4 linked regions of the Mus musculus genome follow. The protein of the gene in region 2 interacts with the protein of the main gene of each other region in a biochemical or structural test. Links are inferred from orthologs where the notes say so. Each region holds a gene or a part of one and is shown on either strand. Other genes may lie near its edges. The genes, in order: Cltc, Hip1, Htt and Cltb.

Region 1 (7,710 bases), on a different chromosome or scaffold from region 2:
GTAATTTTACACCAGGAGTAAGTTTTAAAGTTCATTTCGTTTATACTGGGAAAGAGATAAGCCAATGGAAGAAAGCAGCAACCAAATGGTGCCTAAATTTGGCATTCTTGGATGATGAGCCAACGAATCAACTTGGCAGCAAATTTTGGTGGTTTTGAAGGCGTGCTAATTACAGATAGGTGTTAATATATTGCCTTGTCATACACAGAGATAATCCATGTTGCTTAATAACAGTTGCAGCAAACTTGGCTCTGTCATGATTGAAAAGATTTTGGCTCTTCTTAAAAATGGACTAGCACCATGAGAACTGGACACCTGGAGAAACATGAGGAAAGTCTCTTCGGAAGCAGCTAGTATCTCTTGTATCTACTTTCAGCAAAAAAAATTAGTAAGAATCAAGAGATCAGAAACTGGATCACAGTCCTTCAATACCACAAAAAAACCCAGAAAACAAACAAACAAAAAACAGCCCCACAGAACTCCAAAGGCCTCTTAGGGCATGTACATACAGATATAAATTCAACAACTGTCAGGCAAGCTCACAAAATAAAAAAAGAAGATGTTTTAATTTATTTCAAATATTAAGAAAGTCCTAGTACGTTCCAGATACCCTGACAGGGAAAAGCAATTTCCTGATAGTTTGGAATTAATATTGAAACTCACCATGCTCAGTTTTAATAACATATTAAGAGAGACTGTGAACCAACTACTGATTAGCCTCCTGCCCTTCCTAAAGCCTATTAGCCGATTAGTAGCAAACATCTACTAATGTCCTACAGCTCTATTATAGTTATGTTTCAAGGGACTTGCAGAGGCTTAGTGAAAATTTATTGGGGGGAAAAGCAGCAGCAGCAGTGTAGAAAAGGAAGGGAAAAAATCATGCAAATCCTTAGACTTAGTCTCCAGACTTAAAGATGCAAAAGAATCAACTTTCACCTTTTCCTTTATTGCATCAACCTGCAAAGGAATTCAGAAGGTGCAGCTTAGAAAAAAAAATCAAATTCCATATTGAGCATAAAAAGGTAGAATCAGCAACAAAGGTTCAGGGGAGAAACATGTAACCACTAAAAAAGGGAGGAGCGAGTGGAAGTCAAGGGCGTACGGAAGCAAAACTTAGAATCCTGTGTAACTTCAAAGCTCACTGCACAAGAATTTATGCTAAGTCAGTGTGAAAGGAAGCAGCTTAATGGCTAGGAAAATGGACAGCATTTAGGTTAACAGCAGCCAGGTCTCCAAAGGTGGCATTCATTATGCATAAGAAAGAAGCTTCCCCCACCTGTGGCTAAGCTGTGGCAACTGTTCTAATCACACTGAGCTTACATATAAAGTATTCCTCCTTTAAAAACTGTAAGAGCAACTCAAGGTATCTAGTTATGTGGCCTTCGGGGAAACATCTCTATGGGGTGGGGTGTTAGTAGTGTTCCCCTCCTGTACTCAGGCATGCTGAAGAGATCAGAACAGAGACTTCACTTCAAGTTTTATTTACTCTGACAAAACGAATCTTTTAAAAATCATTTAAATTGTCTATGCATAAAGCTAGTTAACTCTGGCAAGCAGGAGCTATTCTCACATCAGAAAGAGGTGCAAGGATGAACAGCAAATTTTGTACGGTGGCCGAATCCTTAGTTACTTAATGTGCATTTAGGAAACATGGTTAATTGCAAACTTCCTATAGTATTTTTAAATTATGTACTTGATTATCAAAAATCTGTGTTGACTAGGGAACTAATAATACAATGCATGAGAAACGGGAAAGACATGAAGTCTGGAACCAAACAAATCGGGAGTACATGGAGATCTAAGTTGTAGCAATTAACTTTAAAATGCTATCTTAAAATATTTCAAATATTAAAAGAGAGTACTATTTACTATAAGAATACAGAGAGTAAACACTGACAAAGCTTGAGTTCCATTCCTAATCATATCGCCTGTCAGCTATTAAGAAAAAGAATCCATATAATAGGAACATTTTATGGTCAACTAAATAATTTATAATAGAGAAAAAACTTGAAAAATAACATGCATGTAGAATGTTATATATCCTCAGGATTACTAGTTCTGAATACACTTCTGAGCATCATTACCTTGGTCAAATATTCCTTCATGACCTGGATGAAATAGGGCATGGCGAAATCCATGATATTATGTCTCCATGCGGTTTCCAGGACGACATCTGGCCTTAAGAGATCATAACAGGTAAAGAGACAAGCTCCAAAGCATTCTCTTTTTTCTTCCTGCAAAAACCACTGTAGGAGCTCTTCAGCCAATTCTGTGTCTTTAGATTCAGAGGCATACTGCATTGCATCCTATTCAGAAGAAACAGAGAAGAACAGAGTTTAACCCACACATGCTGACTTAAACCATCACTGAAAGTTAAACAACAACAATAATGAATGCACTGACTTAAAAGCCACCTTCACAAAAGGGAGTTGAAATGCCAATTCCCATTGCTTGAACAGCCCACCCGCTTACCAACCTTGTAAAGGCTGTCTTTCTTGCACAACTCTACACTCTGTTTCCAGCGATTGTTGCCTTTGAAGAGATAAGCAGCAATTCTTCTGAATTCAATGAGTTCGTGTTTTTCCAAACGCTGAGCAAGTGAGATGTTGTCAAAGTTGTCATAAGCATCTATTGATGTTCGCAGAGCCTTAAGAGACAAAGCCATTCAGAATCAACTAGCAGCTTTCGGTTTGACATTTATGTTCCACAGTTCATTCTGATGGAGGCAGTTAGATGGCAACATGAAATAGAACAATGTAGAGAGAGGATGCAAGCACCACACTACAAAAGTTGTAACCTGTATTCAGATCTCGATCGTCTTTGATCTACTTCTAAAACAATAAATAAAATGCTTAAATGGACTGTACAACTTTCTGAAGGTGCAATTTTCTTTGAGATAAACAGTACTGATACTAACTTAAATGACTATGAAATTGGGAGAAAATGTAATGTAGACAAGCACGTAAGCTGTTAGGAAACTATTCTTACAGACTAGACTTTGAGCCAGGGGTGCTGACACAGAGCTCTAACGAAGCACTCAAGTATGATGTCTGTGAGGGAAGCCTGCGCTACTAGGCAAGTCCCAGCCAGGCCAAGTGAGGGAAAAATCGCAATTAGTAACCTAGACAGTTTCTATTTATGTGTTATCTTTCATAAGAGCAAATTTAAATGACAAATACTAAGACATTAGGCGAGGAAATTAATAAACAGTTAAGTCCACTTAACAGCAGTCAAGTTTATGGACTAATTGAAAAATCAGTGCCTCTTGGATGTGCAATCAGGATGTAAGAGGGGAAGGAAGCACATATTGCATATAAAATATATCTAACTCAAAGAGTGAAACTTGTCATAAAGCTGAACACTTACCCATCCCGAAAACCTTGCTGAATTTAAGGACTAAGCATCCACATGCCTGCTACTTAAAAATTAAGGCTAACAGGGTTCTTTTGTTTGTTTGTTTGTTTTTACCACAGAACATGTCAGTGTTAAAGCTAATCAGAGTCTACTGTTAAGTATTCACAAGAATCCAAAGGTTTTACCTGGTAATCTTCTTCAGTAATAAAGAGGTTGTTCAGTGATTCATTCACAGATTTGTTGTTGTGGTTCTGCACTGAGCGTAAATATGGTTTCACCAGTGGTAGCTGTTTTACCTTTAAAATAAAGTTTGTTAGAAAGGTATCCATGGTTGAGAACTGTATCCAAGTACATCGAAATCCTCACTGTAAAGTTCAGTTTAAAACAGTTACCTTGCTGAAATAATTGACTGCACGAGTGTGATCCAACCGTGGAGACAGCACCATGAGCAAGTCATTTAACAACAAAGGCTTGAATTCTAAGTAGAACTGGATTGCTTTGTAGTACAGTTCCACATTAGCCACCTAAAAATAGAAATGCACATCAGTTTCTATCCAAGGAGCCTTCTCTTTCCACAGTGCACACTTCTGAGTGTATATACCTTGGTGATGATGTCTTTGAACTGCCCTTCCTTCCATGCATCGGTGGGGTGATTCATCATGGTAATGATGGCATTGTCATACTCTTCGTACTTGTCATACAGAAACACCAGCTCTGCCCAGAGATGAGCCTGTTCTGCAGCTCTCAGCACCTGCACCACAAAGTTGCTTTAGATGTAAATATGACTCCTGCAATCAGCCTAACAGGGAAAATGTTTTTTTTTTTTAATTTATTACTATTATTTATTTATTTGGATTTTTTGAGACAGGGCTTCTCTGTGTAGCCCTGGCTGTTTTTTTTTTTTTAATTTATTACATTTATTTATTTATTTATTTATTTATTTATTTATTTATTTATTTATTTGGATTTTTCGAGACAGGGCTTCTCTGTGTAGCCCTGGCTGTCCTGGAACTCACTCTGTAGACCAGGCTGGCCTTGAACTCAGAAACCCGCCTGCCTCTGCCTCCCAAGTGCTGGGATTAAAGGCGTGTGCCACCACGCCCAGCGAAAATGGTATTTTAAATTATTAGAGCTAATCAGTGGTGAAGACTGGTTGGTTACCTTAGGAATATTCACTCTCGACCAGAACAACTCCAGGTGTTCTCTCATTTTCTGTGGCTTGAATTTAGAATACAAAATAGCTAGCTCTGTGAACATTCCCATGTGAGCTCGCTCCAGTCCCAAGGCTGCCTCCAACATGGTGATGAGTTCTTCAAAATATCCACGATCCTACATAAAGAAAAAATGCAATTAGAGGAGAGAATATGTGTACGAAGGTTTCAATTCACATAAAGGCCTGGTGTCGTTACCTGATAGTAGTTGATAAGCTCCTCTAATTCATCTGCATGCACCACAATATGGAGTCCACACATCTGAGCAAGGCGGAACTCTTTCCCATCTACACAGGCAAAGCAGACCTAGAATAAACATTTTCCACTATGAGAACCCAAGTATAAATATGTGCAATTATTTCAACTCAACAGAAAAGAAAAAACAGTACAACGGTACAAGAGAAAAAAAAATCAAACAAAATGTTAATTCATCATTCAAACTTGGGTTTAGATTACCTCTTTCCATGTTCGAGTACTATTAGCTTTTCTGGCACCATCAACTGCTGCCTGATACTCGCCAAGGTGAACAAGGGTAGATGCCAAGCGTCCAAAGTTAGAAACATTATTGTACAACAACTTAGCAGCATCATACATTTTTTCATCATAACAACGGTCACCAACCTAAGGAGGAAAAGCAATCCATGATCAGTAAAACACAGGTTTCAGCCTAATCCCTTTTCCAAATTCTTATCTTACTACAAAGGAACAGATGGGTTTAGTTGAATATGCTGTAAAATTCAGCACCCAGAAGTTGAGGCAGGAGTAACAAATACCCATTCTTCATGCCACTGAATTTTGTATCTCAAAAATTACAAATAAAATGAATGAACATACACACACTCTATCTCCTAAGAACAGTTTAATTTCATAGCCCTAAAATATTGATTCAGCCAGGGTGATAAAATTACTCAATCATTGAACTTTCATGTGTTAAAATGTGGAACTCAGTTGGAAAGTGCTTGCCTTGCAAACAATAGGATGTGAGTTAATTAATACCTATGACCCACAAATTCAGGTGTTGCATGTGCTTGGAATCCCAGCACCAAACTAGTGGTAGATCAGTCCCTTGTGCTTGCTGGCCAGCTAGCTTAAACTACTTAGTGAGACTTTTGCCAACAAGAGACCCTGTCTTTTCTCCTAAGTAGATAATTCCTGAGGAATAAAAACAAGAGCCTGTCTTCTGGCCTTCACATGCACTTTGATGCAAGCATCCCACTGAAAACAGACAGACAGACGGACACACATGCACAGGAACTGGGGGGCAAATTAAACAGGAAACCCACTTGCTGAATATGAGCATTATTTGGCCCATTGATGAACTCTTCTAATTCTGCAAGGCGGTTTGTTTTAGCCAGTGCAAATATCAATTCTGTCTCCACATAGGACTCTCGAGCCTTCTTGCGTGCCATCTGCAAATACTTCACCAATTCTTCCCAGTTTCCTAAATAAAGAGAAAAATAAGTCCATAAACTAGCACCCTTGTTTTATATTTCCAAGCAAATATGTTAGATGTGCTATTAGTTCCCCCTGACAATTTTTTTTGAGTGTCATGCTATCTAAACAGCCTACGCAGTCCAAGAGTTTAAGGCATCCTGCCTCACTGGCAGGTGTACATCACCACACCAGCTTAACTCCTTTTTCAAAGAGACATTACTTAGAATGGCAAATATAAAGTGGATATACTTAAAAGTATAAAAATACATATCTATATTATTATTGCCCCGAAACTGCTTGATACTTCTGCCCACTTTAAAGTTATATTCCAGAGCTCTATCAGGATTTTATCAGACCTCAAAACAAAATGAACTTTCTCCAGAGACTTTCTAAACTCAGTCAGTCTAGATCAAGATGCTGGGCTAAAAGCTTTCACACGTAACCAGGGAGTGTCTGACCTCTATACAATTAAAACTTAAACACCTTAATGCTTGGCTTAGTGATTTTTTGGAGGTCTCAGGACATAAAGACAAGAAGTCTTACCGCTGGCATTGGCAGCCTGGACAACTTCCATGTAAGATGAAGGATCATCTGCTTTGATGTAAGAATCAATGGCTTCCTTCACCATTCCTTTCTGCAACTGAGCTTTTGCAAGTTGACTCCAAACAGCAGGCTCATTGCAGCGTTCAGCAAACTCATATGCACGATCCAGGTTTCCAATATGTTCAATCAACACCTGGGCAATATTTTTGAATTGGTGTTACTGTAAAATGGATCTCACCCAACATAGTTACATTTAAACGGATAGCATTTTATGATTACTCTACTGTGATAGCAATCTGTGCATACTCTCACAAGAAAACGCATTCTTTGCATCAAGAGAAGACATTATTGTCAATATCTCAATTCATGTAATTTCAAGATTTACCTGCACTGCTGAAGTATTGACATCAAACTTCCGGAAAATAGCAAATGCCTCTTCAAACAGCTCATTGCTGATGGCAATGTTGGCAATATCTGGAGCATCATAATTATCCAGGCGGTTAATATACTCCATAACACGTGTTCGGTCAGCCTTAATTGCAGTGAGGATGAGGAGATTTTGCAGATTCCTTAAGAAACCAAGACATTCAAGCACAATGTCATCAAAGAGTCATCAATGGTGAGGAAACACCACTGTGACACTAGAGGGTTATTTGTCTCAAGGGTCAGGGTGAGAAGAGCGTGTATTAGGAGAACAATCCAGAAAACTATCTGTTCTCTTTGTTTTCTCTTCCTTCCCCAAACCAACAGGCCACAAAGAGAGGCTGAGGAAGCCAATGCAAGCCCCTGGCAGCATAGCATACCTGTGCTCACTGAATACGGAGTTATCAAGAACGATTTTCTCCAGCAGTTCAATGAGCTCATTAGGAAGATCTGCTGTCATAAAAGCCTTCACAGTTACTGACACTTCTTCTGGGTCCTGAGTTTCAGACAAGGCTGTCTGTACAACCTACAAAGGATATACATGGAATAGTTTAAAAAAAAAAAAGGTATTTTTAAAAAGATATTGCCTGGTAAGAACAAGTTAGTTAGCTTTTCATTAGAAAACCTCAAATAGAAGGAAAAATACCCTTCTACTCAAAGATCTTTGTACACAAATATACATGAACACGTTTATATATGATGTTACCATTAGTGATTATGCAATTTTCACTTTCCCCTGTTAAAA
Region 2 (7,710 bases):
CTTCACAGCACATCTCTGGCCTCCATGGTGTCCCCAGTGGCTATATGTCACTTGCCTGGGCCCCAGCCAGCTTGATCTGGGTGCTTTCCAGCTGGTCTCGGAGGGCTGATAACTCTTCCTCTCTCTGAGCTGCAACAGTCGCCAAGCTGCCTTGTTCCTTCTCCAACTCGGCGATCTGTGTCAGCCATTTCGCTTCTGACTGCAGAGGTCACCCATGTGGGAATAGGGAGAAACTAAGGAAATTCAACAGTCCCCTCTCTGGGACTCCAGACCCACTTCCTGGCACCTGGCCGGAGGTAGTGATATGTGTCTCCATCCTTATCATTGCTTCTAGGAATATGTGTGGATTACAGCTGGGGCCAGAGAGCTCAAGGCAGGAGCTGAGGCCCCAGAGGGAGCGGGGCAGGGAGGGCTCACCTGGGCAGAGGTTTCCAGGTTGCTGTGGAGGACCTGCAGCTCCTGTCTGCTGGTGGCCAGTTCATGCTTCAGGTTCTCTAGAACATCCTGTTGCTCTTGAGTCTGAAGCAGAAGCGAAACAGAAGCAGTGTGAGCCAGGGACTCACGAGAAAGGAGGCAGATAGGGATGCATTTCCCACGCTATTGACGTCCCACGCTATTGACGTCTCACGCTATTGACGTCCCACGCTATTGACGTCCCACGCTATTGACGTCCCACGCTATTGACGTCCCACGCTATTGACGTCCCACGCTATTGACGTCCCACGCTATTGACGTCCCACGCTATTGACGTCCCACGCTATTGACCGAGACTGTAGATCCACTAGGTCTGAGTTCTAAGTGTGTGGGTAGCAGGCAGCCTGGAGGAAGTCGATGACCCAGGCCTCACCAACAGCTTTGCCTTTCTTTCCCAATATTAATTTTTGAAGATTAGTTTACTAGGTGTTATTAAGAATTCAGGACTAACACATACTAATTACTACCAATAACTGATTATCAATACAGAAATAATAAAGCTTATCAATATAAATATTAATTAGAATCAGTAATTTTAATATGTCAAGATTATATCAATTATATAGTTATCTATATTATGATTAATAACAATATTAAATCACAGTTGATATTAATGTCAATAATATTAATTACTAGTAACAATAAAACAAATAATAATTGATTTTATATATACTGTTGTTGTTGAGATAGGGTTTCTCTGGGTAGCCCTTGCTGTCCTAAAACTCTGTAGATTAGGCTGGCCTCAATTCAGAGATTTGCCTGCCTCTGTCTGGGATTAAAGGCGTGTACCACTACAGCCTGGCCCTCTATTCCTTTGCTTGGCCCCCTGTCCTTGAGACAGGGTTTCAAGTAGCCCAGGCTGGCCTGAACTTCTGTTTCTCTTGCCTCTACCTCCCAAGTGGTGAGAGCATAGACTTGCACTACTACGCCTGGTTCATGTGGTAACAGGGATGGAGCTCGCAGGCCTCCTAGGTGAGCCTACAACATAAGAACTCTACCAACTGAGCGAAATCTGCTCTTCCGCGTAGCTCCCAAGGCCTCCTGAAAATTACCCATGGAACATATGATGAAGCCCTCTGGGCCAAGTCGGCCTCCAAGCCTGTTTACAGGTGTTCGGAGATGACTGAAGCTCAAGGGTCTTGGGGCTGAGCGGGAGGATCTGATCGCCCAGACCCGCACGGCACCAGAAAAGAATCTAAACCTAAACCCACTTCAACATGCATGATGTTGCAGGCACGCACGCACGCAAGCACGCACGCACGCACGCACGCACGTATGTACGTACCCCTCCCTTCTACATCCCCAAGTGTCTCTCTGGCTTACCTTCCGCTGGGCCTGGTCACTTACCCGTGCAAAGGAATCTGCTAGCTCTTTTTTCTCTCTTTCCAAATCCACCTGGGCTTGCCGGGCCACGGACACCTGTTTGGTCACCTCTGCGTTCTAAAAGAGGAGTAGAGAGTTTTTAACCAGACATTACTCAGGCTCAAAGCCCATCGTCCTTCTAGCAGCAATGATCTATCATCAGACTGTGAGTAACAAGGAGGCAGACAGGAGAAGTTTTCCCTACCCAGAAGGAAGCCAGAACCAGCCATGGCATTCAGAGGGATGTTAGACTTAAAGGTGATTACAAAAATACAGAGTGGGTAAGGGTAGAGTTGTCTGGTGTAGTGTTTTTCCAGGCTGGCTTGGAATTCACTATGTAGCCCAAGCTTGCCTCAGACTCACAGCAATCCTTCTGCCTCTGCTTTCTACGTTTGAGGATTTCAGGTGTGAGGATAGTACGCCTACTCTCTACTTTCTGAGATAGAATCTGACTATTTAGCCCTGCCTGGCCTCCATCGTTGGGTTTAAAGTCATGTGGCACTACTCGTGGCTATTTTTTTTTTTTTTTTTTTTTGAGATAGGATTTTGCCTCCACCTTCTGATAGGATTATAGGCATGTCCCACTATGCCCAGCTCAAATGAAGGGTAATCCTAAGTGTGGCTGGCACACAGACAGAACTCAAGAAGTCTTAAAAAGCTGGGGTTAGGACTCAAGATAGGGCTCAGACACACCAGAAGAGGGCATCAGGTCCCATTACAGATGGGTGTGAGCCACCATGTGGTTGCTGGGAATTGAACTCAGGACCTCTGGAAGAGCTGTCAGTGCTCTTAACCATTGAGCCATCTCTTGAAAGAAAGAAAAGAGAAAGAAAGAAAGAAAGAAAGAAAGCAAGCAAGGTGGGGTCAAGAATTAGGAGTGTGGGGCTGGAAGGATGGCTTGGTGCTGCTCTTTCAAAGTATGTAGTTTGGGTTCCCCACACCCATGCTAGACTCACAATTTGCCTATAACTTCAGCTTCACAGGTCTGATGCCATCTACTGGCCTCCTCAAGCAACTGCACACACATGCGCATACACAAGCATTCGGACATACAGAGGAAGAATACATACATACTGTGCAGCTTGGAGACCCCCCCCCCAAGCCCCGCCCAGGCTTGAGCTGTTTCTCCTGTAATGTGGAGCATATGGGAGGATTAGAAGGGGCCACAATGCCTACCTTCCGCAGCAGGTCAGCATGGTTCTGCACCAGTTCACTGTACTTCTCTTTTAACTTGCTATACCTCTGTTCATTAGCCTGGGCCTTTCCTGCAATGGAAAGATCAGGGTGAGGCCTCTGCCCTGGCTGGGATGCCCCTCATCCTCCCTCTAGGAAACTGGGGGCACTAAAGGTAATCTTTATCTTTTTTTTTTTTTTAAAGATATGGTCTCAAGTAGCTCAGGCTATGTAGCCAGCATGACCTTGAACCTCTGATCCTGTGGGCTGGAACTACAGACGTATACCACCACACTCTGCTAGAATTTATCTATTAACTTTCATTAATAGTCATTAATAGGGGTTTACTGGAAACAAGGTCTTGCTATGTAACCCAAGCTAGCATTATGGTCATCTCCCGCCTTAGCTTCCCGAGTTCTGAAGTTACATGTAAACACCACTGAAGCGGACATAAAAGGTTGTCTTCTTTAAGTAAACTTTCCCCTGATTCAAATCCACCTGCAGACAGATGCCTACAAACACAGTATCCATATCAGCAGGGCTTTAAGCTTCATGTGTCCCCGCCCCGCCCCCTTAGGCTTTGTCCAGCTTCCTCTCCTAGGAAGGTCCCTCTCCCAGGATAGGGACTCAAGCCATCAATGTGTCCTTGGCTCAGCAGTGCCACCAAACCTGTTCCTACCTCTGAAGACAAGAGTCAGTACCCCAGCTTTGCTTCCACAAAGGGGTGATCTGCCTTGCTCCCGCCCACATCCCCAGCCCCAGCCCTCACTTTCTATCTCAGTCAGGCTGCGCTGTGCCTTCTCCGTGTCCTCTCGCTGCCTCTTCAGTTCATCCAGCTCAGTGCGCAGGAACTCGCAGTCATCCATAGCCTGCCGGCCCAAGTGCTGCTGCTCTGCTAGCTCTGCCTCCAGCTCACTCACTCGACCCTTCAGCTGCAGCATGGCCCGCTGGCTCTGTCAGGGGAAGCCGTGGTGAGAAGCTCACTACTGCCAGGCTGCCCCATGAGGGGTACCAGGCAGGACAGGAAATGACTTATCACGTGACTGGCACTGATGTGGTTGATCTCTAAATCAATTTCCCAACCCATAGACTCAACCAACTACAGAGAGAAAACTTTTTGTTACTGTTGTTCTGTCGCTCTGGGTAGGGAGGGAGCCTAGGGTCTTGCTCAAGTGGCCAGTGGCTATACTGCTGAGCCATGTCCCCAGCCCCTCACTGGGGGACTCTAGGCAGGGGCTCTACCACTGAGCCACGCCCCCAGCCCCTCCCTGGGGGATTCTAGGGAGGGGCTCTACCACTGAGCCACGCCCCCAGCCCCCTCACTGGGGGATTCTAGGCAGGTGCTCTACCGCTGAGCCACGCCCCCAGCCCCTCCCTGGGGGATTCTAGGCAGGGGCTCTACCACTGAGCCACGCCCCCAGCCCCTCCCTGGGGAATTCTAGGCAGGTGTTCTCCTGCTCAGACACCCCTCCCAGACTCCCAGCCGTTTACTGTGATTCTAGGCAAGTCGGCCACCAATGAGCCATACCTCCTGTCCCTTCCTGGGACATTTTAGCTCAGCTCTCTACAACTAAGCCACACCTCTCGCCCATAGTTGATGAATTCTTGGCAGGCACCTTATAACCGAAGCCTATCCTCCCTCTCTTACCAAGGGATTCTAGACAGGCGCTCTGTCATGTGCTCGCAGCCCTTCTGACAGATTTAGGCAAGTGATCTATTATTGAGTTATAGCTCCAGCTCCTAAATCAATTTTCTCAAGAACTTATGAGAAAAAGTTCTGATGGCCAAGCCATAGTCATGCCTCATGGGGACACTGGTACCCAGCTTAACTGCCATCCTAAAGTTACATGTTATGATAACAAATTCTAATTGAGACCTAGAGATGAGCAAATTTATTGACTTTTGAATATCTATTTTGTTGTTGGTAGTGGTTTTGGATTTTTTGAGACAGGGTTTCTCTGTGTAGCTCTGGCTGTCCTGGCACTTCCTTTGTAGACCAGGCTGTCCTCAAACTCACAGTGATCCACCTGCCTTTGCCTTCTGGTGCTGGGATTAAAGGCATGCGCCACCAGACCCAGCAAGGCATGTCTATCCATCAACCCAGTCTTAGGATGGGGTCCAGCCATTATCATGAGACATCAAGAATGCCATGTGCCACATGCTGGTGAAACCCAAGCGCACATGGACCCTAGAATGCACCTCAATCTTCATGTTGTCCAGCTGCCCTGTCAGTCCACTGATCTCTCTGTACAGGCGTTCAATCAAGTGGTCCCTGAGAAGAGAAAAACAGGCTTGGTGTCACTATGTCCCGCCCCTCTCCTCCATGTAAGTCAGGAGACAAAAAGAGGTCAAAGCTTGTGTTAATTGGGGCATTCTCTTTAAGAAAACAAACAAATAACTTTTCCTGTTACCAGATATTCACTGGAGGAAGATTGTTTCTATTCCCACCACGACCACCCTTCTCTCCCTTCCTCTGGGGTGCTACAATTATAAACATGTGCTACAGTTCCTGCTTTATATAGTACTGGGGGGGGGTGTCCTGCATGCTAGACAGGCACTCTATACATGAAGCCACATCGCTAGACCCACAAATAACAGTAATAATCCTTTGCAGTATAGATTTTACAGTCAACTTTTCTCATCTGCAGTTCTAGACCTGTGCATTCAACTGACTGGGGATGGAAGATATTTGGGGAGGAAAAAACCTTGCATCTTTATTGACCACATACAGACTTTTGTTTTTGTCATTATTTCTGAAACATCAGAAAAACAGGGGCTGGTGAGATGGCTCAGAAGGTGCTTGCCATACAGCCTGGCAATCTGCCTTAGACCCCTGGCACCCATGCGGTAGAAGGGAGAACTGACTCCTGCAAGATGTCCTCTTGTTTATACACTAATGGCACAGCACGCCTGCAGCAACTCTGTCCCAGTACAAAATTTAAGTGGGGTTTAAAAAGAAAAAGAAAAAAGCCACAGAAATAGTATTCATCTTATAAGGGAGTCTTGCACAGTGGCTGAGTTTTGTTTCTGTGTCTGTCTGTGGAGGTGATTCTGGATCCAGCAACTCTTGGATACCTAGGGTTATTGTACCTTAGACATTAGGTATCTTACCCTGATACCCACAAGGTTCACTGTTGCTGATCTAGGATACAAGGCGATCATGTTTAGAGAAGAGGTAAGAGACTAAGACAGTTTTATAAATTTATGTATATCTCTGCCCGTTAGTATGTGCACATGTGTGTGGGTTCTCTTGGAGGCCAGAAGGAGGTGTTGGATCCCTGGGAGTTTCAGGAGGTTGTGATCCACTCAAGGTGGGTACTGGGAAATGAACTTTAAGTAGCAAGGACTCTTAGCTACTGAGCCATTTCTCTAGCCCTGGTCCCTTTCGTAGTTGGGAGATGGAACCCCAGCCCTTAGCATGCTAAGCAGTGGTCCAGCTAAGCTACATCCCACCTCTTTCCAAAAAGCCCAGATGTTAAGTATGGATGAGGGGATCTGTGGGTGAAGGGTCTCCAAGCCCAAGAACCTGAGTTTATTCCTGGACTCCACATAAATGCAGGAGAGAGATGACCCATAAAACCCTGACACCTTGCCACATCCCCCGACCAACGACACACATATAATCAAACAAACGAATGCAACAAAACGTTTTCTTTTAAAAGAAGTGCTGTACTACAGAGATGGCTCAGCGGTTAAGAGCACTTGTTCCTGCAGAGAAGCCAAGTTTGGTTCCCAGCACGTATGTTGGGTGACTCAAAACTGCATCTACTCATGGCCTACTTGGGCACACAGGCATGCATACAGACACATAGACACACAGACACTAAAAAGAAGGGGTTGAGTAATAAGGGAAGACACCTAACATTGGTTTCTAGCCTCCACACAGGCATACATAGGCAAGAGCACACATGTATACACATGTAAACACACACATGTGAACACACACACACACACACACACACATGTGAACACATATACACATGAAAACACACGCAATCCAACACCAAAGAAAGGAGGTAGAGGGCAACTGTGGAATAACACCTGAGCTGGAATTCTGACACAAACACATACATGTACTTACACACATATGCACACACATACACACATAGATATACTTACACATAAACACACATGTATTTTCACACACACACAAATAAACACATATGTACACACACACACACACATACACACACACACACACACACACACACTTCCTTCCTCTTGGGGTAGCTGTCACAGGCACACTACAGCTTAGCTTCATTTCTCAACCGTGTACTTCCACCCAGCATGGACTCACTTCTCGTCCTTGTTCACGCCATTTTGATTGTTGAAATTGAAAGGGTCGCTGCTCAATGAGCTGCCAAAGACGTCATCAAACTTGTTGTCAAACAAAGTCTGCAGCAATCAGTGGGGTGGGGGAAGGGGAAGCACAAGTTAGAGACCTCTAGAAAATTCTCTGGGAAGCGGAGAGGTGCCGGGGGGGATGCATGCAATTTATTACTTCAGTTTATACTGCGTAGTTTAGTTTACACTACATAGCTCTGGCTGGCCTGGAATTCGTTATACAGACCAGACTGGCCTCAAACTCATAGAAATATCTGCTTGCTTCTGCCTCCTGAGTGCTGGAATTAAAGTGTATGCTGCCTTGCTTGTTTCATTTTTTATTGTTTTTCTTTCTTTGTAATTAAATAAAATATTTTA
Region 3 (7,710 bases), about 100 Mb from region 2:
ATTTTTATGATCTTATATTTCATTGAAATAATTCTAGGATGACAAATCTTAATTGATGTAGACAGCGCACCAAGTTTAATATGCCATCTAAGAATCCAGTGGGATGCCAAGCAATGCTGCAGCCTGAGAAGGCACACAGAGCATCTTATATTAGACAAAAATCTGCTTAAAAAAACACACACACAACATTTCACATGCCAAAAACTTTTAATTTTCTTTTTTTTTTTTTGATTTGGAGATAGTCTTACTATGTAGCCCTGGCTGGCCTGGAACTTAAGTCAACCAGACATGTCACAAACAGAGATCCTCAAGTGTCTGACTCCCAAGTATTGGAATTAAAGATATGCACTACCATGTCTGGCCTCATATGACAGTTTTTATTATGTTTTGTCAAAAACTTATTTTAAGCCATTTAAGGATTTAGAGAGAGTCACAATTTTTTCAAGTAGAACATAAGCTTTAATATTAAACACTGTATTTCATCATTAGTTCCCCCAAATCAAACATTTCTATGGTCATGGATGGAACTTGCAAGCTGCTAATAGTCCACCTAACGACTTGGAAAATATAACAAACTGGGTCCTGTGCTTTAGATATCTTCCTATGTGAGAACCCTCTCTCTCCACAACACACACACCTTCTATTAACCTGCTCAGTTCCTGCTTCCCCATAACCATTTGGCATGTATCAAGGGGCAATGAGGTCCTTGTCTTCACTGGGCAACAAAGAACCCCACTAAGGTAGTGGCCTAAGAGTGCTTGGCAAAGAAGACAAGGAAGGGAATTGAATGCTTTCAAGGCCTGCACCAGCTCTCAGTATGCTTTCTGGTATTCGAGGGGTAAGTGGAGGAGAATTGCTCTGTATCTAGACAGTACAGGGCATCTGACTACATGAGGTAATTCCTCTATATCTAGAGAGGACGGGGTACCTCACTACATGACAGAATGCCTCTTTATCTACAGGGACAAGGTGCCTCACTACATGATGGGTGTAATGGTTAATACTGATGTCAGCGTAGCAGTTCTACAACTGCTGAGGAGATAATAACCTCTTGGTGTGCCTATCTTGATGAGGTTGAGGTAGGAAGACCCACTTTAACTGTGGGCAGGGATCCTGGACTGAACACAAAGGGCAGAGCAAACTCAGCACTAGCAGTCACTTCTCTCTGCTTTCTGGTCACGGGCACAATGTGACCAGACACATCAAGCTTACCGTGATGCTTCCCCTGCCAAGGATTGTACCCTTGAACTGTAAGCCAAAACAAACCCTCCTCATCTCAACTGCTTTTCCTCAGTGTCTTATCACAGCAACGAGAAAGTAATTAATACAGGGGTTACTAGAGATCAATTTCCAGAAGACAATGAACACACAATACTTTCTTATAGTCAGGAAATGAATGATCAACTGACCATAGCCTATGACCACCCGTTTTCTTTAAAGGTATGAAAGATCAAGTTAAAACAATTTTCTTCTTTTAGGATTCTAGTTTGTTTAAAACGGCATCCTATTCACATCTCATGTGCTAGCTATTCTGGATTATAGCTCTCGTGTGCCATTTTTTGTTAGAGCCTCCCATGTGCTTTGCTTGATGGTGTCCCTTGCTTGAACTCAGGTTTCCCATATATTAATCACACAAAGATGAGACAAATTGTGCTGGCTAGTTTTATCAACTTGGCACAAGCTAAAGTCATCTAAGAGGCGGAAACCTCAGATAAGAAAATGCCACCAAGCCAGGGGGTGGTGGTGCACTCCTTTAATCCCAGCACTTGGGAGCCAGAGACAGGTGGATTTCTGAGTTTGAGGCCAGCCTGATCTACAAAGTGAGTTCCAGGACAACCAGGGCTACACAGAGAAACCCTGTCTCAAAACAAACAAACAAGAAAAAAAATGTCATCAAAAGCCTGTGGGTGTTTTCTTAATTAGTGGTAGATGGCAGAGGACCCAGCCCATAGTGAGTGGTGTCATCCCTGGGTTGGTGGTCGTGGGTTCTGTAAGAAAGTAGGCTGACCAACTATGGAGAACAAGCAAGTAAGCAGTACTCCTCTATGGCCTCTGCATCAGCTCCTGACTCCAGGTTCTGGCCCTGTTAAGTTCCTATCCTGACTTTCTTCAATGATGGTGTTAAGCCAAATAAGCTCTTTCTTCCCCAACTTGCTTTTTGGTCATAGTGTTATATCATAGCAACAGAAACCCTAACTAAGACACAAATCTAACTTTCTGACAAGCAGAGCTGAGGATTTCCTGGACTCAACGGATTATTGCCTACCGAGCTCATCATGAAGTCATTCATATCTTCAGCAGGGATACGGTTGACCAGCTCTGCACCTTCCAGCAGTGCAGAATCTGATCTGGTCCAACACTGGGATCTGACAAGCTGGAGGTACCAGTCCTGAGAAGAAAAGAAAATTGAATGGGACTGGGTAGGCACTTCGGCTTCTCTGGGCTGTGATAGAAGCACCGACGGCTGGCTGTACAGACATCAGACACATCTTGGGCTTACACTCTCTAGACAGCTAGTCTTCCCTCTCTTGTTCTGTGCTTGAATGCCCTCTTCTTTTCCACCTGTGGACCTTCCAGCAGTCCTTGCAAACTCAGCCAAGTTCTCAGTGTTCACAATTTTTGCTCTACCTGCACTCTAGATGATGCACCATCTATACTATACTGGAGTATCTGCCTCCCTCATCTTTCCCAGCAGCCAAAGCCAAAGAAATGCCTCCCACAAAGCTGGAGAGTGAGCCTGGGGCAAATGTGTGTTTTCTGTCATGGGCTGCAGGCTTCTAAAATCTCATCTCCTTGCCTAAAAGGCAAAGGCCCTAACAGTTTCTAATTCTCAAGTGTGAATGAGAAAGGGTACAGATGACAATACATTATATAGCTGGTGGCAGTAGGTGCATCAATTTATAGGAGATAGAAGGTTCAGAGGGGGAGGCAGGCCAAGTTTTGTCAGCATGTGCTGGACAATGTCTGCAGTCATAGGTCCTGGACCACAACCAACTTTTCCTGACTTGCTGACTAGCCACCTGACTTGCCCCCACAGTCCTCCACAAAAGCCTCACATCAGCACTCCTGTTCTCAGTAGGACCTCTTGGCCTCCATCCTGCACTCTAATCCCAAGCAGGGCATCTAATGACCTGAGCTGAGTGTCAGGTCCCATGTATACTGACAGCCACCACTATCCTCATTGTAGACAGAGGCTGTCATTGTCTCCACAGGGTTCCTGGTCATCACACTTAGACATTCGGGACACTTACTTTGTCTGGACTCACTGTTTCCAGAGATGTGTGCCCATCCCCATCCAGTGGGTGGGAAGTGACTGGGGGCAAGGGGCTAAGTGAGTCCTGCACAGTAGAGAGTCGGAATCTGTCCAGCAGTGAATAGAGCCTTTGGTGTCTGGAATAAAAAAGCCAGAGTAGTTTGTTCTTTGGTTTGAAATCTCAGTTTTTGCACAGATGAGTTCTAGAAACATGTAATACCAAGGAGCACTAGGAGCTTCTTAAGACAGGGCAACAGGTTTTGGACTTTCCCTTCAACATTCTAAAGTCATGATGCACATTTACGCCCTAGTTACTTTAAATTACCAAAATTTATACCTCACTGATATTTTCCAGAAGTTTCATTTATGCTCAACATTCCATTAGGCAATGAACTATATAACCGCTAACAAAGCTATTCTATTCTACTCTTTCTTTTCTTGGCAATATTAGAGATTGAACCTAGGGACTTGTGCACACTAGACAAGTGCTTTACCACTGAATTACATAATCCTAGCCATCGTATTTGTAATGTGTGCAAAACAGATAAATTTTAAGATCCAAGTGCACAAACTCCATTTAATCCCCAATAATGACACAATTCATTCCATTAGAAATGGTCATTTCACAGAAAACCATTTCATCTGGCCTAAATTATTTATGAAGTCATAATCTTCCTTATCTTGGTCTATGACTACAACTACTGTCAAACACAATGATAATTTATTCTCTTACTATACAGAGTCAATGTGATACTTCATATGTCAAATGATCAAATGTCAGCATCATGTGGCTCTGCAGATTGAGAAAAATCATCCAGACCATGCCCTGTCCCATTATGAAACACCATGAAAAATCCTCTGAAGATTAAAGTTATGAGAGACCCTCTCGAATGCTCCCTTCCCCCTTCAGCAATGGAAAAGAGGTGAAAGCTTTTCTTAATTTATCTTGTAGTCAAGGAACTACACTTACACTACAGATGGAAATGTTTCTAATAAAGGCTTCTAAAAGACTTTCAAACAATTAGGCAAAAGAATAGCTATGAAGAGATGTCACTTAACATAATGTGCACATGCCAAGAGCCAGGTAGTGCTCTCATGTTTACTCCCTCCAACCTGGCAATTAGGTTCTAGCTTTATTCCCACTCAGTCAGGGTCCAGTAGCAGAGGTAACAAACATACTTCTTATCCCTTCAACAGTCACAAAGTTCAGGAGTCCCTTCTCTGTGCAACAGGTATTTGAGTGCCACTTCTTCATGTCTACTAAAGTGAGACATGACTAAATTTCATCTGATATTTAGATAGTCTTTTCTACTCTGGCATTGCTGTAGTAAACTCACTGTACACTAATTCCTTTGTCTACCTATTTGTTCCTGAACATATCTATGTGTTAATACGCTGGTTGCCCAAGTGCCAGGACCCCACGCTGCAGTCTTACCTTTGTGCAAGCCCACTGTTCTGGAGGTGTTCTTGGATTCTGTTTAGTTCCTCCTCTGGCAACTGGGCCATGCTGCTCTACACAGACAAGAACACATCAGGGCTTTTGTGATATACAACCTCACACCCACTTAAAAAGGATAAATTACTATACACAGTATATCTAAAAAGAGCCGTTGGTCAGATACACAAATAACAAATATGACATACATGCTCTTTATCAGTGGCCAATCAAGACCAGGTCAATAGACCAAATGTTTTGATTGACTTTCTAAGTTTTGATATAAATTACCATTTTCAGTACCTGTAAATTTGCAGCCAAAAGCATTTCTACCCGGCGACAGGCCAGGGTGTCGACCATGCGAGCCAGCGCACGGAAGGGGGTGCCCAGGAGCCTGTCCACATATAGTGTGAGCACAGCACCAGACTGGCTGAGATGGATGCCTTCCAAGCACTGAAGTGTTTTCTTCAGAGTGGTTGGCTAATGTTGAGAAGGAACGAAATTTATTATTCCTCAGACTGATAACTAGTACTGACAAAATCCCAGTATCCCATTTTTAAGTTGGAGAAAGCAAACTGGCAGGCTAAAGACTTACCGTTGAAAGATTTTCACAGCGAGACTGAATTGCCTGGATAAAAAGACCACTAGCTGCAGAATTACGATGAATGGCACTAATAAAGTCTTGTACTGGAGGCTCATGAGACAAGCTGATCAGATCTTGAATGTGATTCACAATGAGCCATGTTAAGTGTTCTGAGTCATGGAGATTCTGACACTAGAAAGATATAATAAAAGATATATTTCAAGTGGACAAGAAGGCTACAAAGTGTAAGAAAAAACACACTTGAAATACAAATTTTGCCTTGGTGAAGACAAGTGTCTGAGTATAAGTAAATGAGAGAAAGGAAGGAAACTTATAGAACCTTACACCTCTGATCACATGTGGTAGAGGCCACAGGAAGCCAAGAACCAAGGGCAACATCCAGCTCCTAGAGACACCAGCAAATGCCTCAATATCAGAGAATTGGCTCCTTGGACAAGTCAAGAGGTAGATGCCCACAGGAGCACGGTGAGCACTCTGGTGTAGCCCTCCCTAGCGACTGGCCTGGAGTTTGCATGCATGGGAACAAAGGAAGCCCCATGTAGGAATACAACTTGCTACCAGGTTGCAGGCCAGCCTAGCATGGGCTGTTCTACTTACTCTGTCTGCAATGCTTAGTAAAGAAAACAGACTCTAAATGCCACAGATTTGATAGAGTTCTTGAATCAAAAAACACAGCTGCCCAATACAAGGAAAAATGTCACCAGACTGCTCTAATTAAACTCCAGAGTAAACATTGCTACCTCTCCTCAGCTTTGATATATCTGTGGCACAGTGAATAATTTGGTTGCCTAGCAGGTGCATATAAGCAGCATCTATGCCACCCTCTACCATAAGAGCTCTTGTGGGCACTTACGACATAATCACAGAAGAGAATAAGGGCCCCTCTTCGCACTATTTCTCTATTGCACATTCCCAGCTGAGCTGCCGAGCCAGAATCCTCCTCTTCGCCAGACTTCTGGGGGTTAAGTGACTTCGTGCAGGACAGACTGTGTCTCCTACAAGGCATGAATATGCAATGAGGGAATGTCTGGGATAGCCACAAACTTAGACACACAATATTGAACAAAGCTATGATGGATTTTCCTTCTCAAACCCACAAGTTATTCCAGATATTGCTCTATCAGACTGGTGGTGTGTGTTTATGCACCTCAGACTTCTGTCCCTAGAAATCATTGAAGGACACAGAGAGTTTAGCAGCCAGATGATTACAGTGCTTGACTGAAGGGCAAAACCCACTATTTAAGGCTGCAATTCCAAATAGCATGTCCATTCCAGAATTCACACTGGCCATGTTTGATAATGGAGCAGTTGTTCTGATATTTCTCATGTTCTACAAACACCTTCAAGTGCCAGGGAGAAGCCTCATTTCACACTTTCCTACTAATTTTCAAAAACATTACTGAGAAAGTCATGGTTGTGGAATTACTGTTCAAAGTGCTTCTTCTCTACTGCAGTGGTTACTCCACTCATACTCCTTTCTCATTGCATCTTTCTAAATATAACCCTGGAGACTTTCAGTTATAGCCAAATATTTAAAAGACCATGTCTGACATATTTCTAGTCTTTTGCTCAGTCTCAATAGGGACAGAAGTCACAGGAGAGAAAGCACACTTGAAATTTGTTGACCAGTCCTGTAAGTCCTCAGTACTAATAGATTATCGATAAAACTTGTGCTGCAAGCTAAAGGTTTGTTAAAGCTGCCAACCATTTCTGCTTCCTAGGTAGCAGATGGATGAATAACCTAGTGTATCTGTAGTGGGATCAACTCAGTAATGCAGGAGCAGACCACAGATCACCACCAGGGAAATAAACTTTAAACTGATCAATGGTTGCTGATCAACAACCGGATGCAGTGTTCATTTCCATGGATTTCTGCTCTGGGCACAGAGTATTCACGGAGGTTCTTATGGACAAGGGAAGGGATGGTGATAAAGGGACAAGAGGGAACTTCCTGGAATGATGGTACTGTTTGTATCTGACAACAGATGGTACAAAAGGCATTTCACCAGGCACCCTCTGTCAGTTAGGAAACATATACAGAACCCCTGCCCTTTCACAGCTGGAGCTTTGTAGCTTACACTCATAGCCACATGTACAGCGAAGAACTACTCACGTACAATAGGTGAAATTTGCAATTAAATAATTAGCAGGAGACATTGTTATGGTTTGAATGTGAAATGGTACTGACTGGAATATAACAGCAACCATAGAAAGAAGAGACAGCTACTAATCAAATCATCACACAAATAATGCTCAATTATGACCTTGCTACTGAGGAGCAGAAGTTACCTAAGTGCAGACCTTGAGATCTAAGCAAATGAGGAAAAGCATGGGCGGCTTCTCTGAAGAATACTGCACTAAAAACTGAAAGTGATAGATAGGTTTCTCATTTTAATATATTGTGTATGGTGAGACGTG
Region 4 (8,198 bases), on a different chromosome or scaffold from region 2:
GGGGATGCCATTGGTGTGTGAGCTCTCTCAGTCTGTGTGTTTTGTTCTGTTCTGTTTCTGTGGTCCTGTGGGCTTAACTCAAAGCTTCTCCCCTGAGCCCCATCCCCAGACTGCCTTACCTTCCCATCCATACTGTACCAGCCCCTGTGGTGGAAAGAGGAAGCCAGGGCCTCGTACTCTCAGGGCCAACCACTGTTAATAATTGGAATGCCTTTTCCAAATAATTTTGTGCAAACACCAAAAATAAAAATAATGGCACATCATTCATTCTGCAAGTTGCTTTAATAAGAACATGCATGTCTACAGGAAGCTCCGATAGCCCTTTAGAACAGTCGACCTAGGCCTTCCGATTCTGGACATGTAAGCTATTTCTAGTTTGTCTGCTGTGGCAAACCATCCTGCAGAGAAACTGGGTGCCCTTTTCCAATCATTTGCTTAGGGGAAATTCCACATGTAATGTCCTGACCAAAGAGCTTATCCAGTTAAAATACCCATGATGGCCAGTCAGGCCAGCCTCCCACCAGAGACACCTGCCCGGCACAGCTTTCATTCCCTCCATCCCACGCCACTCCTTCCTAAAGCTAGTTACTCCTGAAGACAACCTGAGCGACTCCTCAGTCAGTCCCTGCCCCCAGCATACGACAAGAAAATAGTCAGTGTAGGAAACATGGTGAGCCCTAAATGACCTCCAATGGAGAAACAAGTCACTGAGCCTGAGACAGTCCATCCCACCTCTGCTTACCTGAAACACATCTCCATTGACTGTAGTACTCATGTCCTCTGAACCAGCTGGAAAGAGCAAGGAGACAGTTTCATTCACAGTCCATATTACAAACACACAAAGGTCCTATTTTTTTGCTTCTTAAGCCAACCTATGCATACACCCATGGGTATACTGATACCCACCGCCCTCCTCCCACCCCCTGAGATATAATGGATATATAAGCAACGAGGCTCAGGCCCTGATTGTTCCCATGTGCATTCACTGTCATCCCTAATATTTGCCACAGCCCTATGATGAAACAGTGACCCATTTTACAGATTCTCAAGTGGAGGCTCGGAAGGCTACTGTGATTGCTCCAGATCACCTGGCAGTGCACCATTCCTTACCAACCTGAAGTTCAGCATGGAGCTGGGACCTCCTAAGTAGACAGGGGGACTGTGAGTTTAGGGAGAGGCCATCAGGGACGAGGAAGAGAGGGGTCTGTGTCTCTGCATGTCCTGCTGGAACCTTGAGCAACCGATCTGCCTGGGCAAGCAGCCTCACAGCTCCCCCTGGGCAACGCTTGGCCTATTTTTCCTCTCTGTGCCCCTCCCAGGGTTTCATGTTGGCTTCACAGTGACACCGCACAATCCCTTTATCCAGTATCCAGTTAGCCACAAACGACCTGTAGCTTCTGCTGCAACAGCGACCTTCACAGCTACCTTCCCCTCACTCCCATGCCCAGCCCAGCCTGTGCCCTCGACATCTCAAACCTACACTCCTGCTTTGGTTGTCTGTCCTGCTAGTGACAAATGAGAGCACCGTGGCTCAGAGCCACACCCATGCATGGGGCCTAGGCTTCTTTACAAGTTTGGTCACTAGATGCTGAATAAACAAATTAAATTCTTTGTTGTTGTTGTTTTTTATTTTAAGACAGGGTTTCTCTGTATAGCCCTGGCTGTCCTGGAACTCACTTTGTAGACCAGGTTGGACTTATCCTTGGAACATGTTATTTGCTTTGCTGTATTTGTTCTGCGGGCTCTGTTGTAGACTCGGAATCATAAATGTGCAAGAGCCCCTCCCAGGCTCTGCCTGCCTCTGCCTCCCAAGTGCTGGGATTTAAAGGCTTGTGCCACCACACTTGGCTCATTAATTTTTTTTTTAGTTGGTGTGTAAGTTACCTCCTACAGGGAACCTTAGCCTGCTTCCTCTACTTCCCTAGGCACTAAAAGAAAGTCTCGTTTCTGGGGTACACTGGAACACTACACAGGGTATCCCACTCTCCTGTATAGTGACTTAGCATGCCCAGACTCTGGATGCATATATATATATATATATATATATATATATATATATATGTGTGTGTGTGTGTGTGTGTGTGTGTGTGTGTGTGTGTGTGTGGTGTGTGTGTGTGTGTGTGTGTGTGTGTGTGTGTGTATATATATTCCCAGTTAAGGGCTCCTGCATAGAATGGATGAACAGAGACAGTTGGCCAAATGAGAGCTGGACTGTTCTTGGGGTTCACTGTAATTGGCAAGGCCTCTCTGAAACTGTCATGCCGCCTAGCTGCGAGCCACAGCAGGCCTCATATGGTCCCCATAGATAAACAATTAGCCCTGTATGGGATAGACTGGCCTCTGAAGAGCAACAGTGCTTCTGGCCTAAGCCTGACCTGATTCATCAGGGCCTTGCAGTCTCATGTCAATTATGTGTCACAGATATAAATTATAGCTTATTTATCGTCAAGCAGTGATTAATCCTGATTCACTATGACAGCTCTCATCCCACCCACTCTGGGAGGGTTTCTACAGTACAGGTGGCCTGCTCTCTAAATAAGGGTGGTCCCAAAAGGCTATGAGCATCATCCTCCTTTCAGTCTTTGGGACTGCATACACACCCACTCTTAGAAATACCAGCCTGTATCCCACAGGGCTCTTGCACATTTATGATTCCGAGTCTACAACAGAGCCCGCAGAACAAATACAGCAAAGCAAATAACATGTTCCAAGGATAAGCTTTTTGGTGTGTGGTCACCTCAGGAATAATGGCAAAAGATCCAGAACATTCCTGTGAGCTTACTGAGACCAGCAGGGGCAAGAGGATTACACAGTGCTTGGTCACAGGCAGGCCAAGAGCCCAGCTAACGGGTGTGAAAGTGTAGAGCATTTGGGCACTGCCCAAGGCTGATGAATGGAAACAAAGTATCCGCAGCTCAGGCCGGCTGCAGATCCGCCCAGAGGGAAGGCTCAGTGGGGTTCCGGTTCAGGCCTACGCCAGACACAGCTTTCCCCAGGCCCCCCTGAGAGCCAGCAGCAGTGAAGCGGCATTGAACTTGGCTCGAGAGCTGCTATCAGAAGACCTCATTGTCTCTGGGAGGTGACTCAGAGGTGTGCATTGGTGGCTGCTGTTAGAACTAGCTTCTTTCCAACTCCCAGAATTGCCCAGACAGTTCACCTCAGACCACCCAGGCTCCTATCATTCCCTGCAAACGCAGAGGAGGATGGGTACCTCCCACTGTCTAGGCTTAGGAGAATCAGGTCTGTTCTATTTATGCCTGAACACCCGCTGAGCTCCCCTCCTGAAGCACCTCCTTGTTCCCCAAACTGCCACTCAGAAGGGCAGCTGGGCACCTGCAGCTTGATGGAGTCCGGGAGACCCTCAGAGGGTCAAGTCCCTGGCTGCTTCCCTAAGGGTTATCACCACTGTCTCCCTCCCGGTTATCTCATATCTAGGGCTAGTCAGTGCCCTACCCACCCAGACTGTAAGTCCCTAGGAAAGACTACAACTTGCAAAATCCCAGGCTCCTGTGGCTATCCTCAGCTGGAACTGCATCTGTCTTTCTCCTGAGTTGCTAACAACTTGGGACCTCCTAATGAGGGAAAGGACTGTTCCCAAGGGGTGACCATGGACAAGTGAGTTCCATACAGGAACTTAGGAGGTTCCCAGGGACAATGAAGGGCTGAGGGACTGAGAGCTGCTATTTCAGAGCTGCATGGCTGGCTTGGATAGGCCCCTGCTTCTCCCTGCTGTATCCAATCATCTCCTAAGGAGACCAGCACAGCTGCCCTTTGGAAGATCATAACTAGGAGGCCTGAAATCAAGCCCCAGACCTATCACTCACGGCTGTGTGGCCCTAGGCAAGACATTCAAACTCCAGTTTTTTCTTTTTAATTATTATTATTTATATTTTCTTTACTTGTGTGTGTTTGTGTGTGTGTGTGTGTGTGTGTGGTGCAGGCATGTATGCGAGGTCGGGGGGACAATTTGTGGGAGTGAGTTCTATCTACCGCCATGAGGGTTCCAGGGCGTGAGCTCAGGTGTCACCAGGCTGGGCTGATTTACATTTACTTGACAAGCCATCCTGATAGCCCCTCAAACTCCAGTTCCGTGTATGTTACAAAAGGCTTATTACACTTATGTCAGAGTTTCTTCAAACGCTGGGCCATAGATACAGTTTCTTCCTTCTGTGTTCCCAGTGGGGACGGCAACACAGCAAGTGTGGAAGGAAAGAAAGATGAATGTATACATACAATATTTATTTCCAACAGGACCATTAAACCTCTTTAACATGACACCAAAAAATAACAAGGTCTACTAGGAGGGTCACCATGAAGGTCCATATTTGTACTAAATATTTAAATATATTTATAAGAAATTGTTCCTTGGGGCAGAAGTATCAATGATAAACATAACAATGCAGGAAAAAGGTCCTGAACCCTTATGTCTGAAGCCACACGCAGAGGTCCGGGCCACCTTTGTAAATCCACTAAACAAACAGTTACAAACAGGAAGGGCACAGCTCTTGGCCATTTGTGCCCCTGCCTAGACTTACAGTCGGGCCCATGAAGGACTGTGAGGTCTGGACAGGAAGAATTCAGCATCCGAAAGAAGGGGTTGAATTCTTTATTGCTACTTCCTAGTTGTTTTAATAGTGTACCCTTTGAAGCCAGTTCTAAAATGGGTTCAGTAACGTGTATGAAATTATTATATGTAATTAACATTGTCTCCCGCACTGCTGCAGGACTGCAGGTGATCCCCAAAGGATGAGCTGCGAGTTCTCTGAGCGCCCCCTGCTTCCCTGCAGAAAGGAACGCTAACGCTAACGTCAGGAGGACGTGTCCGTCCCACACCTGTATCACTTAGCTAGGACACTGGGACAGTCTCAGAACTGAGCAGGGGGAGGGTTCCAGAGCCAGGGTGGAGAAGCTGGCCTGGGGATGAAATGTCATGACTAAATTCCTGTCCCCAGAGTCAGCAGATCCAGTCTCAGCGCAGATTCCAACTCATCTCCCGGCTCCTTCCTCTTTTCCCAGGCCTCACGGATACACACAGCCCCCCGAGGTACCCTTGGTCACCCTGGATAGCCGGACTCAGAGTACAGCAGGGACCCAGGCCGGGTCTGACCGAGACTGGGCCTCCCGCCCCCGGTGGTGGCCTCAGCCTCCCCGGTTCCAGGCCGCTGCGCTGACTCACCCCCGCTCGCGAGTCCCGGCTGCGCAGAGGCCACCTGGCTGGCGGCAGGTGCCCCGAAACCCGGGTCATTCTCGATGCCAGCAATCTCGCTTTCCTGCTGGGCCAGGAAGGCGGCCGCTGGGTCCTCCTCGGCGGCCTCCGGGGCCCCGCTCTCCGACGATGAGAAGAAGCCGAAGTCCTCAGCCATCTTCCCCGCGTGGCTGCTGTCACCTCCCGCCCGCGCCCGCGGCCCGCACTTCCCGTCACCCGCCCGGCTTGCCTGTCACTGCGGCTGCAGCGGCGGCGGGAGGAGTCGCGGCGGGAATGCGGTGACGTCAGCGGCCGAGGGCGGGGCCCGCGGGGCTGGGTGGTCGCCCCGCCCTCGGTTCGAGCCCCCGAAGCCCACCTTCGGCTCCAGAGCGTGCCAGCAGCACTGGGCTGGCACCGGGTGCATTGAACCGAAAAGTTTCTCCCAGAGCTGATTTTGTGAGCTGCGTGATACAAGAGTACTCTTCCTGCGTAGGAGGAGGGAGCTGAGGCTGGGAAAGGCTTGAGTGCCAGGCGCGCACAGCAGAGCCTTGTTCTCTCAGGACTGAGTAAAGCATCCCGCCGCCCTATCTGTGTGATGAGCCCCTGAAATCAGGGACTGTTCCTCTTTCTCCCTGTCTGGTGACATTGATGTTCCTTAAGGCAACTAACTGGCTGATTGTTTTGTCTTTCAATTTGAGCTCTTTCTCTAGTTCTTAGAGCAGAGGGTCAGTTTGTCCCATTATTGGTTAGGTTCCCGTTGATTACTCAGTACAGTACAGGTGGAGCCTGCTTTTTTCTTTGGTAATTAATATACGTATTGTGACAGCAGATTGTATGCCAAACTCGCATTGCACATTGCAATTACTTTCGCGGTTTTTGTTGTTGTTGTTTTGTTTTTTAGTAGCCTGTTTGACCTCAAATTCTTGTATAGCTGAGGCTGGCTTCAAAGTAGTGATTTTTTTTTTTTTTTTTTTTTTTTTTTGTATTTCGAGACTGTTTTTCTGTATAGCCCTGGCTGTCCTGGAACTCACTCTGAAGACGAGGCTGGCCTCGAACTCTGAAATCTAACAGCCTCTGCCTCCCAAGTGCTGGGATTAAAGGCATGCGCCACCACTACCCGGAGACCTTTTTCAAAAATACAGTATCTTTTTTGGTTGTGTTTTTGTTTTTCAAGACAGGGTTTCTCCATGTATCCCTGGCTGATCCTGGAGCTCACTCTGTAGATAAGGCCGGCCTCAAATTCATAAAGATCCACATGTCTCTGCCTCTAGGATGCTGGGATTAAAGGCGAGCACCACCACTGCCAGGTGAGTACCTCTCTTTTAGTCTTTGTCAATTTATATATATATATATATGTATATATGTGTGTGTGTGTGTGTGTGTGTGTGTGTGTGTATATGTGTATATATATATATATATATATATACATATACATATATATATATTATGTATACAGTGTTCTGCCTGCATATATGCCTGTAGGACAGAAGAAGGCACCAAGATCACATCACAGATGGTTGTGAGCCACCATGTGGTTGCTGGGAATTGAACTCAGAACCTCTGGAAGAGCAGTCAGTGCTCTTAACCACTGAGCCATCTCTACAGCCCTCTTTGTCATTTTATACAAACAAGTAATGCATTTTGAGCATATGCTCCCCCCTCACATATCTCACGCCTCCCAGGTATCCCCTCCCTAACAGTTCCCCTCCCCCACTTGAAATTTTTTTATTTATTTATATATTTATGTGAGGACACTGTAGCTGTGCAAATGGCTGTGAGCCTTCATGTGGTTTTTCAGAATTGAATTGGTTTAGGACCTCTGCTCCCTCTCCAGTCAACTCTGTTCACTCAGTTTTTTGGTTTTCCGAGACAGGGTTTCTCTGTGTAGCTCTGACTGTCCTGGAACTCACTCTGTAGACCAGGCTGGCCTCGAAATCAGAAATCTGCCTGCCTCTGCCTCCCAAGTCCTGGGATTAAAGGCATGGGCCACCACTGCCCTGCCCAGCAGATTTATTTATTTATTTTGGTTTTTCGAGACAGGGTTTCTCTGTGTAGCCTTGGCTGTCCTGGCACTCACTTTGTAGACCAGGCTGGCCTCGAACTCAGAAATCCGCCTGCCTCTGCCTCCCGAGTGCTGGGATCAAAGGCATGCGCCACCAAGCCCGGCTGATTTATTTATTATTATACATAGGTACAATGTAGCTGTCTTCAGATGCACCAGAAGAGGGCATCAGATTTCATTACTGGTGGTTGTGAGCCACCATGTGGTTGCTGGGATTTTAACTCCGTACCTTCAGAAGAGCAGTCAATGTTCTTACCTGCTGAGCCATCTCACCAGTGCCCCCGCCCCCCATCCTCTCCAGTTTTTTTGTGTTAGTAACCCACTGAGTTCAATTAACACTGCCTGAAGGAATGAGCAGGCCATCACAGTGACGCACAGTGAGGTTACCCCTGTAATGTTCATGCCACTGCTACACCAGTGAGAACTTTAGGTTTTTGAGTCAGTCTCACTACACAACTGTCTGGCCTTGAGCCTGCTATGTAGACCAGGCTGGCCTCAAACTCACAGAATCCATATGATTCTGCTTCATGCATGGTTTTTTAAAATTATTTTTTAAAGTTACACATATGTATGTATAGGTGTATGGGTATGGGTGAGTGTGTATATGTCCAGGTACCTACAGAGGCTAAAGGTATATAAGATACTATGTATCTAGATACATTGTAGCTAGAGTTACTGCAGGCTGTCAGTTGTCTACAAGAGTAGCATGTTCTCTATCTTTCCAACCTCAGTGGGATGCCTAGCAGGTTAATATTATCACATGAAAGATGCGGACAAGGATGCTGTTGATGTCTTTTCCACCCCAGCAGCCTGAGCAGCACCTTCTAGCACTCTAGCTCAACGAAGAAAGGAGGCACACTATCACCTGAAAGGCTGCCTGTGCCCTTTCGCAGTCAGCTTCTGTTTCAGCTCACTCCCAGGACAGCAGCACTCTGCTTTCTGTTACTAGGG

The links.
Region 1: the proteins of Hip1 (region 2) and Cltc form a complex in vitro, tested with the Homo sapiens proteins (3 studies listed by BioGRID). The link is inferred for Mus musculus from reciprocal best matches to the Homo sapiens genes HIP1 and CLTC.
Region 3: the proteins of Hip1 (region 2) and Htt form a complex in vitro, tested with the Homo sapiens proteins (2 studies listed by BioGRID). The link is inferred for Mus musculus from reciprocal best matches to the Homo sapiens genes HIP1 and HTT.
Region 4: the proteins of Hip1 (region 2) and Cltb form a complex in vitro, tested with the Homo sapiens proteins (2 studies listed by BioGRID, with this or other methods). The link is inferred for Mus musculus from reciprocal best matches to the Homo sapiens genes HIP1 and CLTB.

What each region holds. Positions count from the first base shown.
Region 1 is NC_000077.6:86,700,125-86,707,834, forward strand, and holds part of Cltc (clathrin heavy chain 1), read right to left. Parts: intron 7,492-7,710; coding exon 7,346-7,491; intron 7,112-7,345; coding exon 6,928-7,111; intron 6,736-6,927; coding exon 6,543-6,735; intron 6,007-6,542; coding exon 5,849-6,006; intron 5,187-5,848; coding exon 5,022-5,186; intron 4,872-5,021; coding exon 4,764-4,871; intron 4,684-4,763; coding exon 4,516-4,683; intron 4,106-4,515; coding exon 3,956-4,105; intron 3,879-3,955; coding exon 3,747-3,878; intron 3,651-3,746; coding exon 3,540-3,650; intron 2,648-3,539; coding exon 2,477-2,647; intron 2,307-2,476; coding exon 2,085-2,306; intron 958-2,084; coding exon of another isoform or gene 937-957; intron 1-936. UniProt on the Homo sapiens protein: Clathrin is the major protein of the polyhedral coat of coated pits and vesicles. Two different adapter protein complexes link the clathrin lattice either to the plasma membrane or to the trans-Golgi network.
Region 2 is NC_000071.6:135,431,229-135,438,938, forward strand, and holds part of Hip1 (huntingtin-interacting protein 1), read right to left. Parts: intron 7,405-7,710; coding exon 7,307-7,404; intron 5,282-7,306; coding exon 5,209-5,281; intron 3,963-5,208; coding exon 3,779-3,962; intron 3,102-3,778; coding exon 3,013-3,101; intron 1,915-3,012; coding exon 1,822-1,914; intron 520-1,821; coding exon 418-519; intron 234-417; exon of another isoform or gene 200-233; coding exon 56-199; intron 1-55. UniProt on the Homo sapiens protein: Plays a role in clathrin-mediated endocytosis and trafficking. Involved in regulating AMPA receptor trafficking in the central nervous system in an NMDA-dependent manner. Regulates presynaptic nerve terminal activity.
Region 3 is NC_000071.6:34,874,483-34,882,192, reverse strand, and holds part of Htt (huntingtin), read right to left. Parts: intron 6,288-7,710; coding exon 6,146-6,287; intron 5,464-6,145; coding exon 5,284-5,463; intron 5,169-5,283; coding exon 4,992-5,168; intron 4,766-4,991; coding exon 4,689-4,765; intron 3,391-4,688; coding exon 3,252-3,390; intron 2,390-3,251; coding exon 2,267-2,389; intron 1-2,266.
Region 4 is NC_000079.6:54,605,902-54,614,099, forward strand, and holds the start of Cltb (clathrin light chain B), read right to left. Parts: upstream 5,473-8,198; 5' UTR 5,364-5,472; coding exon 5,177-5,363; intron 790-5,176; coding exon 743-789; intron 1-742. UniProt on the Homo sapiens protein: Clathrin is the major protein of the polyhedral coat of coated pits and vesicles.